2 linked regions of the Arabidopsis thaliana genome follow. The protein of the gene in region 2 interacts with the protein of the main gene of each other region in a pairwise test. Each region holds a gene or a part of one and is shown on either strand. Other genes may lie near its edges.

Region 1 (8,490 bases), on a different chromosome or scaffold from region 2:
CTCAATGCAATTCCAGCCTTGGCGTCAAAAATGCTCGACCTGTTGTCGCCAACGAAGTCAGTTGAGACAACATCATCCTCGGTGTATCCAAGGATTCCCTTGAGTTTGCCTTCGGATTCCTCCCTATGTATTGGTGGTAAAAACACTTGGTGAGTAATTTGATCACTACTGGAATATAAGTAAACTTAATCTGTCATTGCTCAAAAGCTTACTTGATAGCCTTTTTGATTTCATCGTAGGTAGCAGCTTTCTCGAGTCTGACAGTAAGGTCAACAACTGAGACATCAACGGTTGGGACACGGAAAGACATTCCAGTCAACTTTCCGTTAAGAGCTGGAAGCACCTTTCCGACAGCCTTGGCAGCTCCAGTGCTGCTGGGAATAATGTTGAATGAAGCAGCTCTTCCACCTCTCCAGTCCTTCATTGAAGGCCCATCAACAGTCTTCTGAGTAGCTGAAATCATAAAGCAAACCCCATTAAATCACAAATTTTCCACCTATAGGCAAGCAAGTTTGTAATAAACTTCTAACTGATTGATAAATTTACCAGTGATTGAGTGGACTGTAGTCATAAGACCCTCAACAATTCCAAATCTGTCATTGATAACCTACACAATGAAATCAAAGAACGTTAAATGAAATTAGTCACTTCAACTTGAAATACAAAGTCAAATTTGATCATATAGAATATCAGATATTTTACCTTGGCAAGGGGAGCAAGGCAGTTAGTGGTGCAGCTAGCGTTGGAGACAATGTCAAGGTCGGACTTGTATTCGTGCTCGTTGACACCAACAACAAACATTGGAGCGTCTTTGCTGGGGGCAGAGATAACAACCTTCTTGGCACCACCCTGAAAATACAACAAGTCACAAATTTAGTTGAATGATACTAAGCAAATTCTAGCACATAAACTATTTATATCATTACAAGACAAAAATAACCAATTCAAATAAGACAAACCTTCAAGTGAGCTGCAGCCTTGTCTTTGTCAGTGAAGACACCAGTAGACTCAACAACGTAGTCAGCTCCAGCCTCGGCCCATGGGATATCCTCAGGGTTCCTTCACAAATACCAAAAACTAATGAGATTGAAATTCACAACAGTTTGTAATATGTATACACGCAAAGAGACAGAGAACTGGTTGATAAATGTACCTGATGCCGAAAACAGTGACTGGCTTCTCACCGAAGAGAAGGGTCTTCTCATCCTTGATCTTGAGTTCATTGTGTTTCCATTGACCGTGAACACTGTCGTACTTGAACATGTAGGTCTGCAGCAATCAAACACAGAGCGCAATCAAAATCAACTCAACCATATCAACTCTAATCACAAACAGGCTAATCAATAACATTACAAACACAGCAAAACAAACAACAGCTCCACAAGTATACTGATCAGCTAAACAGTATGAACAATGAACACTAAACCAGTTTCCAGATCTGTGCACTAATTGAACAAATCATCTGACACTTAAATCCACATGCATAATCCATAAATGATATGATCCATCTATCAAATCTAACGAAAGCAAAGGTACCAGAGCGACTAACAGAATCTTATCGTCAAGAGATCAAAATAATATTGAAGCAAACCAAGATCGAATCACCGTCAAAACCAAGGAAGGAACACTAACCATGTACTCAGTAGTGATGAAGGGGTCGTTGACAGCGACGAGCTCAACATCGTCCCTCTGGAGAACAACTCTAGCAACCAAACGACCAATTCTTCCGAATCCTAACGATAACAGAAATCAACAGTCAGATTCTAGATCTAGATACATGAGAACATACAAACCCGAATTACAAAATCGATTCGAAACTCACCGTTGATTCCGATCCTAATCTTCTTGTCAGCTACATAAAACAACAAACAAAATCAGAAAAACGATCAGATCAGAAAACTCAACAACGTAAAATAGCAGCGACGGGACGAGAGATTAGTAAAAGCGAGAGACTAACCCATTGTAGAATCGAAAACGAGAGTTAGAGAGAGGTTGAAGATGAGATTGGCAGAGAGAGATTTTAGAGTGAGATAGGTGAGTGAGAAGGGTTCCGTGAAGAGGTTATTTAAAAGAGAGAAGAACGTGGAGGAGGGGTCGGAATGATCTAGTGGCTGAGAGTTTTTCTTGGCCAAAAAGTCAGATCTGATTCAATACTTTTCTTAACCTAAAAGACCAAATTGCCCTTAATCATTTTCCTTATTTACCGTTGTAGCTCTGTTATTTTGGCAAATGTCGTCATTCCTGAGGCGAGACATGGCAACTGCATCTCACGCGCTAATCTGGAATATTCTTTAAATATTTAAGACGGGTCGGGTAAGCATGAAACGCAGCGTATTTGGATATGCTTTTATGCGCCGACCAGTGTTTGACTGCCACGAGTTCACGAGCGGCCCATTTTAGTAGACGGGTTCCATTTTCTAGAACGTAACGCCCAAATAAAATTATATTTTAGAAAAGTATATATTTCAAGTTTTCAACTCTTTAGGAGACTTTCTTTAAAAGAAGATATTTGATAGGCGTATATGGACAAGAATTTGAAAATTTTGATTTGATAAGCAATATTCAAAAAAGCAAAAGTCCCTATCAAAAACTCGATTAGTTGATGTATTTAATTCAAAAAATACTTCGTGATGGGTGAATCACTTTAGTATTTACGTGAATTAAATTATTACATGTGAATTTAAACGGGAAAAAAAAACAAGTATTACATGTGAAATTTGTTTCGAAGTGTACTTTGTTGTTACTTATGAGTCCTGTCCCGTCAATTGCTATAGTAGAGCTTATGAACGATGGATCACTTTTTACTTATAGAAGCTTTGAAGTTTGGTGCATAGTCGTGATACCTCTTGACGCGTATGAAAGAGATGTAGGGCTAGTACGAGAACATGAGCAGCTCCCGCAATGATGAACAAACCGCGCAACTCACGGAAGGTGAATCGCTTAGATGCCTCATCATCGTCGTTGGTAGATGCAACTTCCTCGGTGTTGGAATGTACATTTAGTGAATCCAGTTTTTGAAACCATTTTTTCTCCATGTCTTTCAACATTCCCAATGATCTTAGCTTCGCGATTTCTCGCGATACTTTAGGAACCAAATCCGAACCTTTCTGGAACATCTGAGAGGTAAACATAAATTAGTACGTAACAAGAATAAGTAACCAAATAATGGAGAGAAAATGAGAGGTTTGAGGAGAAGGGTACATACAAAGCCAAAGCCATTGGTATTAGTCACTCTATCTGTCATTACGAAATCATTCGGATAATTTCCGATAAGGATACTGAGATAAGGTATTTCATTGATGACATGATTAAGAGTTCCATCTCGCAAAAGTTGTGCATAGGCCTCAACTGCATTAATGGATCCGAGCTTCGCAGTCATTGACGTCGTAGATCCCCCGAAAACCATCTGATGATTTAATTGCATGCGAGAAATGGTCTTGGTTGATGTCAAGTTTGCGCTGTAACTTGAAGTCAATATTAACACCACAAAAACCCAAACTATGACTAAGAATCTTGATGACATTTTCTGTAGCTTCTCTCCTGCCAAGAATGTGCGTAATTTGTTATAGATCAAAATATACAAAAGGATGGGATTTCATGAAGAGTAGTACTCTAACATAAACACTTACTGTGAGCAAATACAATGGTTGAGAAACCAAACCAGAGCATCATACTAAGTTGTTGTCCCCAAGAGCCCTGAAATTCCGGATTAACGGACCGTTCAACTAACCAAACAACAATCCCAGTTAAGACAAAGAAAGCTCCACTTGCTAGCCACAAGGATTTTTCGAAAGGATCAAAGAAGGTCCACATCCCTTGGCTTTTCTTTTTCACTGTCAAGATTCCAATACCAATGTCAGTGTACGGCAAAGTAAAATCAACATACAAAGATCTGTTGGAAGTGATGGTGATATCACCAACTGCTGCATCATACTTGTCTCTCTGTCAAAATTGCAAACACACATTATTAGAAACATACATAATCATTTTTGACTAGAAAAATGTTTTTAAACTGTTTGCATTTTCACACCTGAGTAGAAAGTAGATAAGCAAGATTGTCATTGTTTCCACGGTAAGGTATGAATTCAAGCTCGTAGTTAAAAGGAGCAATGCAAGTCTTGAAAACCTCTACGCAGAATCCAGAGACAGTATTAACACCTGTTTCAGGATCAGGACGCACCGACACTAGATGCGGGACCTTGTTTCCTGCGGTAACTAAGACCCTAAGCACCTTCTTTTCACCTTTCTCTGCCAAAACACGGTGTCTTGGGATCTTACGAGACCTGCCAGGCCAAACAATCTGTCTTCTTTGGCTAAAACTACCACCACTCCATAATCCTATCCTTCTCTGTTTTTCTCTTCCAATATTCACGATTTCAAATGTCTCTGAGATAAATTTGTTGTCAGAGATTTGGATGTCACCACTCAAACCCTTGAATCTACTATGTCTAATTGTATCCAGAAGATCAGCTGATACATTCGAAGATGCTTCAACTTTACCACTTACACTGAACTTCTCTACTGCATTTGCTAGAATACAAGCGATATCGTGTGCGCGTAAACCGATGATTACACTAGAATGCTCTGTTTCTGTATCATCTCCCATACGTTTCCTCAATCTTGAAGTAAAATTCTTAACTTCTTCAGATACAGGGATGTAAGATTTGAAACCAATGACCCCTTGCATCGACCTAGTTATTGCAAAATGTTCCAAGTAGTTCATGGTTCTTGCAGTGAGGATCCAAGCGAACGCTTCTTCCATCAAACCTAACTTCTCTACACATTGGAAGAGACGAGAAACAAGAATCTCGGACATATGCACCACAAAAACCGATGCTCTTGAGACCTTAAGCTTCCTTAGCTGATTCATCATATGATTTTCTCCTGATGATGAGACTGCAAAAGAAGCAGAACGAGCGATATAGATTCCTTTATCTTGAAAATTCTCAACCAATATTTGCAAACTCTCACTCCAATCATCAGCATCCTCGTATATAACCACAACCGATTTACAACTGAAATCTTGTATGAGACTTGTAATTCCCTTAGCCTCTGATGTAGTATCATGCGTCCATTGAATAAAGTTATCGTATTTCTTCAAAGATAACGTGTTTGGCAAGAAAGTAGATATGACCGGAACTTTAGCTTTTTCGCTAATCGTCGCCAAAAGCTTTGCCTCTTGTAATGATTGTGCACCAACAATGGCTTCCGCTTTTGCATTTTTGAGAAGATCAGTAGCTGTTTCATACAAACACAAATTGCAGTGCAAAACGGTTAGTGCAAGACATGAGAATGTTAACCGGAGTAAACCGGCGGGACTAGGTCAATTCTTTTTTATTTGATTCAGTCTGCTTTAAATGAAGAGGAGTTGTGGATCCCACCAAAAATTGCAATAATTGAATAAGGGAGATGAAAACTCACCGGCGGCAAGAGCAATGATCGGGTCTCCTTGGGAGTCTCTGACCAAAACAGAGACTCTGGTTCGGTATCCATTGTTGATGCCATAGAAATCTGAAAGCGCTAAGTTAAAAGAAGTTTCCAGAATCTTGCCTTGTATAGAACTCAAGTCAACCACCAATCCAACCCTAACCTCTTCGAAAACATCATCGTCGCTTGGAGCAGCTACTACTCCGGAAAAGAGAAGAGCAAGAATGGAAATAGAAAACAGAATCTCCATATAATTTCTTGTATAGCTCTGTAACGTTCGCTTTGGGTTATAAACAATGGTGTTTCCATATCTACTTGTGCCATGGAATAATAATTATACTGGACCATTTTTTTTTTCCGGTCAAATTGCATTTTGATTTTCTGAAGTGTATGGTCACAATCATTTTAAATCAAACTAACGCGATATCGCACACAATCAAAGTCAATGTGTACTGTTCATCGACACAAATTGACTAGGAAACACATTTATTTCCTTCTAAAGTATAGTTGAGCCTTAAAAAAAGTTTTATTTAATTTATGTTTTCAACAGTTACTTTTAAAACTGATTTCAAAATCCAGGTTAAATACAATGTAAAATACATATGCAGGGGAAACCATAATACTAGATATATTAGCTTATTTCGCAAAGTCAATTCGTAGAAGTAAATATTCGAGTTCAAGTGATAGGACAACCAAGTGATATATAATAAAATCTACCACAACCCGAGAAGCTAAAAAAAATCACAAGCTGGTTAGTTCAACTCGTCGAGGAAAAATCAAATCAAGAGATTAAAACTCTAGTCTAGGATGATCCCACAGTCATCTCCTTCTACAATCATTAAATTATTACTCTATCGAAACCACACGCTCGCGAATACTTATAGAGTACATGTGGAATGAGATAACGTTACCAGGGAGATTAGGAGACTTGGCTTATAGAATACTTATGGAATACATCTCCCTCGCGACTTACCTGCGCAATGAAAACTTTTTCTCGTCTTGTTCAATAGTTGTACTTCGCACAAAGGATAATACGATCATAAAAAGACTCATAATACGATCTTCGATATACCCGCGCAACGATGGATCACATAAACGGTCGCATGGTTGGAAAATTTAGGGCTCATCTCTGATTGTTTTATTTTCTTCACAAAGGGGCAAAAATATATATATACACTGTATATATATATGGGGTTTTTTTTATGGTCAAATGTTATTGCCCTTCGAATAAGAGACCTTTGATTCGTAAGAAGAGATTATTATTTTATAAGAGAAGGTTATGACCGAAAGGTTTCTGAAGAAAATGAAAAATTACTTTTAAAAGGAATTTTATCTTTAAAAGGAAACAAAAGGAATGGTTAAGTTTTACATGATTGGACGCAAAAATGGAAAATTCTTTTGATTACTTCAAAAAAGGAAACCCTCATTTCTTATTAATAATACATCAAATAAAAAACTAACATGATTTTTCGCAAAATATCCAATTTGTGAAGACCCTAACGCTCGAATTTGTCATCACTTGGCTCAGTCTTTCAACTTTTGAAAACTGAAACTCCTTTTTTCTCAATACTGTTAGATAATAGAGATATACTCGAGACGATTGAGCTTCGTCAAATGGATACATGCAGTATTAAAATCAGCAGTTCAAATACAAAGAAATTTAAATCATCAAGTATGAATATGTATGATCATGCTTCACGATCGAACAGACGAACACCACCAGAAACTCGACGTCCCACACGAACAGAAGATGAACCACCACAGTCTTTTCCCAATCGTAAGTGAGCCATATTGTCGCATAAGTTATCACGTAACTCGAGCATCGCTTGGTACCTTTGCTGCAGCTCCTTCGCGCTCAAACCTTCCGAAGGAAAGTTCCACCACATTTTATCTAACTTCTTTTCATTTCTCGATTCCTTCAACAGTTTCAACTTCTCTAGATCCATCGCAAGCTCCTCTTCGAGCGCCTCCATTTTTTTTACGAGGTCGTGGAGCCTTCGTTTCTTATAAGCTTCGACGAGGGGTCTGGTATCGTCTCTCTCTAATGGTTCTTGTCTCGAAGGGTTCTTTAACCGGTCAGCCACTTTCTTCATAGACGGATGTGCGAATGTATAGGGCTTCTTGGGTTGAGAGAAAATCAAGAAAGCCACTTCAACGTCACACATTGCTACGAGCTCGTTCATTTTCTTAAAAATTCCGGTTTTACGTTTTGAGAACGTAATCATCCTATCTCCATAGTTCTCCACCTTCTTCATCTCGATCTTTTGCTTCCCCTTTGTTTTTCTTCCCTTTGCTTGCTTCGTAGATGACATGTTTGCAGAAACCAGAACTAGTGTTTGATTTCTTGTAGGTTTGTTATTTTGTATGTAATGATAAAACCATGCGCAAAACACAATCTATTTATAGACCAAAGAAAGAGATAGGATTACAAAGTTTGGAGACATTAAATTTAAATCTTAGTTATGAAGAAAGTGTATTGACTAATTTACAAAAAAAAAAAAAAAATGTTGACTAAACACATTTGGCAACCACTTTAACATCTTCATTAATCAGTCAAGAAACTATTATGGTAACCCAATTGGTGTAATAGCTGGTGTAAAGGCTAATTGACCATTCAAGGAGGAATGTTCTTTTAGGTAATTACGAGTTTGTGTATCCCTTACAGGGAACATACCTCAGATCCAAAATTCTTTTGTTACAAAAAAAATAGGAAAAATTTGATATAAAAGATATCTACTACAAAATTTGTCCATAATATTCTTATTTTTTTGTAGATTAGTCATATAATTTTTTTAAAAAACTTCAAAATCCAAATTTATCTTATTTTTCTATCAAATTTCATTTAAAAAATAAAACTTTTTTGTATTAGTATAAGTCCGTTCATTTGATTAGTCATAACTTTTGCTATAATATTTTGTTTGACTTGAAATCACTATCGTTGGAAAGCTAATTGAAACTAATAGAATTGCTATAATATTCCGTTTGACTTGAAATTACTACCGTTGGAAAGCTAGTTAAAGCTAATAGAATTGAAGTCAATATATAAACATAAAAAAAAAATTT
Region 2 (7,750 bases):
TAAATTATCGAAAGTGGCAGTTCGATTTATCCAAAGACAGAAAATGTCTGTTGTCACTTTATGTAGTGATGTCTAACGTTACACACATTTGTCTATCTTACACTTGGAGAGAGAAATTTCACGACTCTTAGGTTACTTCAGTTTCTCTGCCACTCTCTCTATCTCTCTTTTTTTTTACTGATTTTTCTTTTATTTCTATAGTATTCCATTTAGAAGTTGAGATGCAAGAAAATAAATTCTTAGATTGAAAGTAGCATTCTATGAATGTTTTTCAGTTTTTGTTAACTACCACTCTAAATTTTAAACCAAAAGGATATGTCGAAAATTATTCGTGCAAAAAGTCGTGATAACATGATGTATATCAGTATATGATAAAACCAAAGTCGCATAACTGCAGCTTCTATTTATAATTGGAGGAAGCATAAATTTCGTTCGAATCTCTACAACCAAAAAAAATCTACGTGAGCTAAGATAGCTAAATAGTTAAATTGTCAGACTACTTGTCATATTTCAAATATCTCGATTCCAAAAAAAAAAAAAAAATTACAAGTAAAAATATTTCGTTTGAAACTTTGAATAATTTGGTCCTCGAAGGTACGGGAGTCATAAATGTCGTTTTGGAAATTGCAAACTGATGAATATTGAAGGAGTGTTGGACTGATACTCCATTCAACATGACTTCATTAAAGTATAAGTTTATGACCAAAGTCTATGGATATATATACGCAAACTGAAACAAGTACATAAAATTTAGAAAAAATTATTCTACTACAATCTTTTTTTTTGTAAGAATAAAAATTGTAAAAGATCAAAACTATTCTCGTCTAGCAAAGTCCTTAATTAATGAACAGTTGCAAATAGATTTCTCCTTTATGCTACACAAAATTGGTTTTCTTCTGAAAAAAAGTGTATACCAGATAAAATTACTATGTTTAAAACCGATTCAGGGGATGAAAAATACAAAATAAGCATTCGGTGAAAGAACATTAAAAAGATTCGTTTATGAGTTTTAGCTCAAACATGGCCACGAGCCTACTAAGCCAAACTTTCCAAATATAGAAAGTATCCATGGATTTGATATAATCTATCAAAAAAAAATATCGGAAGGTGGAGTTCACGCGCTTAAATCCAGCTTATAGGGACGGGACACATTACGCTTACGAGAACGGCCCAATACAAAGGCTCATTATTTAGGCCCATTATTAAAATGTAAACACAATGAACAACAGCCCAATAAGATCCATGACAAAGACACCCACAAAGATTTAGATTTCAATTAGTAAAGTTAGCGATCGTAGCGCCGGGCTGAGTCGCCTGAGCTTCAGCCGCCGGTTTCACTTCCTTCGACGGCTCAACATGTTTTCCGGTAAGCTCCACAGGTAAATCAGCAGCAACACCTTTCAAGTAGAAAGTGTAAAACAGCTTCGTAGGATACACAAGCTGACGAAGCTTGACCTGTCCATAAGCTCCTTCAAACACGCCGGAGCCACCGGTGATAGCAAGAAACGTGTCCTCGTAAGTGAGATAAGGTCCTTGAACTGATATGTGACCATAATCTCCGAAGTAGAAACTGTAAGAAGCTTCAAAGCGATCACCTTTCTTCTCTGGAACATGTTGGATCAAAACGCAGAGACCTGCGGTGATTCCTATGCGTTTTGTGAGATCTCCTGTGTAGAGTTTGTTTGTGAAGGGGACAAGATCTCCGAGACAAAGCTGATCTGGTTTTTTCCCTAGTTTTAAAACCGCTGGACTGTTTCGATCACCTTCGTTGAACTCGTAGACGTTAAGCTCTTGGATCTTAGCTGAGATTTTTCACAAAATAAAAATCAGTTTTTGTGAAATGGGTACTTGATTTTGAGCTTAAAGGTTGATTCTTTTTTTGTTCTTATACCTAATTTGATGCTAATTTTCTCAAATCATGAAATGGGTACTTAGTTGTGAGCATAAAGGTTAACTTTTTACTTACTTGGTCTGGAGTAGTCATTGCTACTGCTGCTGCAAATGGTTCTGAAGAAACCTCCAGTGGAGGAAGTGGTGGATCTTGCTCGTGTGGAGAGACCTGGACTGTTAGATGAGATCCTTTGGTTATGGAAGGATCTAGAGAAACCGAGAAAAGTGCTTTGGTGAGATTGATGATTGCGAGAGAGGTTCCTTAGAGTTATCATAGAGATCGATGCAGCAGCAGAAGAAGCCATGATCATAGACTTGCCTGAGTTAGTTTAATTGTAATAAACACTTACTCAAAGAGAAACTGATTTTTGCGTTATTAGTTGAACTGTTGAAGTGTTGTGAAGAGACTAGATCTACGTTTTAATGGATACTTTATGTACTATGCATTTTTATCGTGATGATGAATGATGAGGAGCCATGTGCGTAAATATGGGAAAGTGGGTCTCTAGCTTCATCTAAAATAACTAAGAATTAAACACAAAAAGACAGGGAAACAAAAAAAGTCGCAAATAATTGTTGTGAAATGGGAATTTGTGGAATAAAGAAAGACTTGAGGGAACATGTGGGAAAATTTCTAATAGCAAACTAATCTTGAGATCTTAAAAGATGGCACTAACACAAATTGTTAGACTATGGTCTCAAAGATAATGAATTTATACTATGGACCTTAAATGATCAGCAAATAAAAGGTGAAATGGAAATGATCAATGTGAATAGTTTTAGCATTTGGTAAGAATCTCTGAACCAGTTCTAGTAATCAGAATGGTATGCTCAAACTGAGCAGCGACGCCACCATCTGCTGTCAGAGTAGTCCAGTTGTCTGGCCATGTTACACATTCTGTGGTTCCAATCGTGAGAATCGGTTCTGCAACATAATGTATTCATCGGTTTTTTATTATATAGTAATCACCTAATCATAAGCAAATGAAAGCCATGACATGGAAGGGGAAAAAATGGCTAACCAATTGTGAATGTCTGTCCCTCAACCATTAGTCCAGGCTCATCATTTCCTGCAAATTGGATTAAAATTCCTCAACCGTAAGTCCAGGTTCATATGCATATGCAGCCAACTATTGTTTTTGATTGATGTTTCCTAACATAAGAACGATTTTGCTAAGGAAGAGATTACTTACGGTAATGATATATAAGAGGTTCGGAGTGGAATACTGGTCCAACACCATGCCCAACAAACCGCTCCACAACGTTGTAGCCGAACTTTTCCGCATGCTCACTGTTGGAAATTGAAAGCATTGAGATTGTTTGTTCTAGCAGTGTCCTCAAATAGTACATTTCTACACGGTTATATTGAAATCAAGAATAGTTTTGGTTGCAACCTGATTCTTTTCCCGATTTTCTTGAAGCTTGCTCCGTCTTTACAAACTGCAATACCTCTCTCCAAACATTCTTCCGTAACCTTACAGAACAAGAAACCGACAACAGTTAGCATATTAAAACAGAATTCATTTTTTTGTGAACTTGAAGACAAAACACAGTGAAGAGAAGAAGAAGAAGAAGAAGAAGAAGAAGAAGAAGAAGAAGAAGAAGAAGAAGAAGAAGAAGAAGAAGAAGAATACTACCTTCACAAGTCGTTTGAAACCTTCGTCAACTTCTCCACAGAAGAAAGTTCTCGACGTATCTCCATGGTAACCCTGTCGATGTTTCAAGTTGTATGTAGAAATCAAACAAAGTGAAAGTGTCTGCAAATTAACAAAAGAAGCGCAAATGACTTACATCCAAGTAAACCGTGACATCGATGTTGATTATATCCCCGCTCTGCATTAAGACTTAATAGTTAGTGATAAACAAATGAACTCCTTCAAAGCTATTCAGCTTAAAGCAGTAAAAAGCACACATGAGGACCTGTAGCTGGCGAGAATCTGGTATTCCGTGACACATACACTCATTAACTGAAGTACACACACTTTTAGGAAATCCACCATATCCAAGAGGTGAAGGATAAGCACCAGCTTCAATAATCATATCATGCACAGCTTTATCGATTTCATTAGTCGTAACAGATGGCTGCAGAACCATATAAACAACAACTCAGACCACATATCCATAACATAGGAAAACAAAAGATCCACAAGGAAACTAAAATCTTACCTTAACCAAAGTTCCAGCATAGTTTAAAACCCGAGCAGCAAGCTCGCAAGCAGCTCTCATTTTCGCAATGCCTTCAGGACCAGGAATCTGGAACTCACTTGATATATCCGGTAATACACCAGACTCAACATAAGGAGGCCTTGGAATGTGATCAGGTACAAGAAGACGAGGCGATACTCTTCCACGTCTTAATGGTGGATTTCTCCTAACTTTTGATTTAGTTTCAAGCTCTCTCATTCTATAAAATGTAAACCAAATTAATGTACTATTAGCTCTATGACCAAAAGATGAATTCTTTTTTCAAGATTGCATTTTTATGATACAAGAGAGTTAAACAAAGTTAATTACTTTCTGATTCTAATGGCTTCCTCTAACCCAGAAACTTTCTTGGCAGAAACATGGAACTGTCTCGGAGAATATGAGTTCTTCTTACCTACAGATATGAGAGAAGATAAACTTCATACACCAAAGTTCTTCAATTATACAACATTCAAAATCGGAACAACGGAGAAAGTTTCAAAATTTCCAATCAGATGACCAATAATTTCGATATCTTCCAATGAAAAACGAAGCAATAATTGAATAACGAACAGAGCAAACGAAGAAACAGTGACAAGTAAAAATGACAAACCGGAGAGTGATAAAGAAGAGGAAGTGACCGGAGCTCCGAGAAAGCATCTCGACGGAGCTAAGTACTCGCCGTGAAAGGAAGAGCAGAGTTGCAAAGAAGACGATGACGAGAAACTGGATAGAAAAACCGAAGACGCCATTTTCGCAAACTTCACTGCTAAAACCCAAAATATCAAAATTTGCAGTGAAGAGAAAAAAAAAATGGTTCTTGATATTTTAATTAACAAACTAATGGACTTTAAAGCCCATTGGGCTTGTATATGATCGATCAAGTATAGGCTACTTTAGGCCATATGGGGTTTATGAAGATATGATTTGCTTGAAGTTTTGAATTATGACAAGATTATCTAAAAGATATTTGACGACATTTTTATGGTTCTTGTAACTAAAAGAAATTATAGCTATTAAATTAGTAACTTTATGATTAACTTGTGTTTTTCTAAATTATGATCGTGCTTTTTCAAAATTTTCCTATCTTATAGAATTTGTTAGATTGAGAATTAGTCGTTGATAAATGTATATCTAAATGGATCCACAAAAATCAAACAACAATAACGATTATGATGGTGGATTTTTTCTAGTACATTTATTTATTTTCTTTCTTTCTAGTCTTTGGTATCAACAAGTCTAATAATTTTCACTAAAGCTACTGCTGTGTTACTATTTGAACACAACTTGAATTATGTGTGGATGTGTGTTATAGACAAAAGTATACGTAAAATTGCGTGGGCATTTTTAATTGTATAATAGGATTTTATGCTATAATGGAATAATGTTATAGTCCACCGAATTGTATCGAAAGAAAGTGCATATGAACGGAACATTCATTAGATCAATGGTCAATATATTCCTTTATGTAGGTACATAGTAATGTATGCGGCAGGTGTACTATTATCATCATATGTTCAAACTCTAACGCATATACTATATACCATTTCGTAAGAGATTAACAGAGTTTTAATGTTATTCGTTTTAACCATCAAATTCCTTCGAAATAAATAGCTATATATACCTAAGTTTGTAGAGAATCTGAAGATACTCATAGTCGCAGCCAGCGAAAGAAAGAAAACTAAAACACTTTTAGAAACAAATATCTAGATTGAGTTAAGCCGAAAAAGTAGTAGATAGAATTATAAATACATATATATTATTTAACAGCAACATGAATCTCTCTACCAACACAATAATTTCTGAAGCTTAAAATAATATCTTGCAAAAGCTTAAATAGCATTCATTTTAAAATATCTTTCTCTTTGGTTATTTGTATCGGAGTATGGTCTATCATATCATCATACGATTATATACGTTTACAGACCCTGCAAACTTTTTCTCTTTTGGTTGGAGTTATTTTATAAAATTACGTACGCATAAGTCATAACTCCTCAAATCTATATACAAAAAGCAGCAAATACCATAAGCAGTAGCTAATGCATACATATAAATACGAGTTCCCATACACATAAAATGAAAAGAAACCAAGGTAAGATTTGGTAACAACATTTTCATCATCTCATGCTAATAAAACTCTTGAGACATATCTAAGTAACCCTTTTTAAAATTTATCCTATAAATAAAATTTACAGTTCATCAATACAACAAAAACAACTCATGAACCTTTGGTAAACAAGAAGAAAGAAACCGATGCAAATAAAGAAAACGAAAATGGAGTTTTTAAAAATTATTAAAACAACAAAAGAAAAAAAAAAGAAGAAGAGTTGTTACGAGGCGTGAAAGATGCGTTGCTTCTTGCTACACACCAACGATAACATCTCAGTATCGTTCACTCTTTTGTTTCCTACGACGTCGTTTCTTGAACTCTCCGGTGAAATGTTAACTCCGAACAATCTCAAAACCCGACCCGCATCTAAATCTGACCCGGATCTCGACTTCCACCCAATGTACAACTGTTGATCCTGACCGTTAGATCTACTGAAACTAACCACGTCACCAGCACGTAGATTCTTCTCCTTAACGAACCTGCTCCAACCTTTAGTCAAAACATAACTCTGACTACTGTTCCAATACGAGTAACGGAACCTCCACACTTTCCCGTTAACGTCCTCAAAGTTCAACAACACTCCTTTCACGGAAACGTTACTTGACGGTAACGGAAAATGTTTCTCTGCGTGATGTTTCGGTATAACCAAACGGTTTAGCTTCCCAACGTCGCTTGGCGTTACCGCTTTCTCAAACAGTGCCTCCGCCGATCTAAACCCCGTCGTAGAAACACCATCATTACTCAACCCCGACGTTAACAACGTCCTAGTCATGTTTCCGTTACCATTACGACGCCGTTTACTCTGCTCTAACTCTTCGTTATAAGTATGTTTCCTCAACATATCAACGATCTCAGATTTCGAATGAGAATTCAAGAAATCGACCTCGTCTTCGTCCATCTTCACGTCTTTGAAATTTGTGACGGCGTCACGGCGACGGAACCTGTGAACCGCGACGTCGTAGGCACGAGCGGCTTCGTCTTCTTCGTTGAATGTCCCGAGCCACACGCGCTGGTGTTTCTCGTAAATCTGAGCTCCCCATCTTCCGTTTGGTTGTGGCACCACACCTTTGTATTTTGACGACGGAAGCTTCCTAGATTCAGCTTCTACGCCGTTCTCTGAATCTAACACAACGCTTGATCCGCTTCCCATCCTGTATAAGTTACCTACCGACGACTTTTTCGCCGGAGTTATCGCCGGGGTTTCACAGATGGAACCTGTACTTGTAGTACTCTCATCAACGCTACTCGATTCCATTTAATCTGTGTTTTTTTTTATGGTTTGAAACAATGGAGAAAACAGAAATGTGTTTGTGTTGTGTTGTGAATTATGTTGTGTATATGTATACGTGTGTGTGTATAATATATATAGAAAGAAGGAGAAAGAGCTTGGGGGGAGGGAAATAAGAAACAGCAAGTGTCACTTCTGATATTATTATTTTATGTTTCACTTTTTATTTGGTAATAACAAAAAATATATTTGTAAGAATGCGTGTTTGAGGGGAGTAATTATAGTATATGTGCAGGTGCATGGGAAGTAAGATGGGTGTGTATGGGTCAACTCAAAGA

The links. The genes of interacting proteins can lie anywhere in the genome.
Region 1: the proteins of MAP1C (region 2) and GLR1.1 interact in a protein complementation assay, tested with the Arabidopsis thaliana proteins (one large-scale study listed by BioGRID).

Annotation. Positions count from the first base shown.
Region 1 is NC_003074.8:1,074,548-1,083,037, reverse strand, and holds GLR1.1 (glutamate receptor 1.1), read right to left. Parts: upstream 5,803-8,490; 5' UTR 5,678-5,802; coding exon 5,422-5,677; intron 5,239-5,421; coding exon 4,031-5,238; intron 3,943-4,030; coding exon 3,630-3,942; intron 3,541-3,629; coding exon 3,206-3,540; coding exon of another isoform or gene 3,117-3,205; coding exon 2,802-3,116; 3' UTR 2,534-2,801; downstream 1-2,533. Other genes in the region: GAPC1 (glyceraldehyde-3-phosphate dehydrogenase C subunit 1), read right to left, coding at 1-123, 213-453, 547-607, 703-849, 960-1,059, 1,154-1,269, 1,633-1,733, 1,823-1,852 and 1 more; AGL57 (AGAMOUS-like 57), read right to left, coding at 7,116-7,739. UniProt on the Arabidopsis thaliana protein: Glutamate-gated receptor that probably acts as a non-selective cation channel. Can transport sodium, potassium, and calcium ions.
Region 2 is NC_003070.9:4,542,075-4,549,824, reverse strand, and holds MAP1C (methionine aminopeptidase 1B), read right to left. Parts: upstream 4,937-7,750; 5' UTR 4,827-4,936; coding exon 4,688-4,826; intron 4,490-4,687; coding exon 4,405-4,489; intron 4,295-4,404; coding exon 4,057-4,294; intron 3,973-4,056; coding exon 3,811-3,972; intron 3,724-3,810; coding exon 3,682-3,723; intron 3,600-3,681; coding exon 3,528-3,599; intron 3,365-3,527; coding exon 3,285-3,364; coding exon of another isoform or gene 3,251-3,284; exon of another isoform or gene 3,182-3,250; coding exon 3,084-3,181; intron 2,961-3,083; coding exon 2,913-2,960; intron 2,816-2,912; coding exon 2,670-2,815; 3' UTR 2,452-2,669; downstream 1-2,451. Other genes in the region: AOC4 (allene oxide cyclase 4), read right to left, coding at 1,273-1,802, 1,967-2,201; RAV1 (uncharacterized protein), read right to left, coding at 6,405-7,439. UniProt on the Arabidopsis thaliana protein: Removes the N-terminal methionine from nascent proteins. The N-terminal methionine is often cleaved when the second residue in the primary sequence is small and uncharged (Met-Ala-, Cys, Gly, Pro, Ser, Thr, or Val).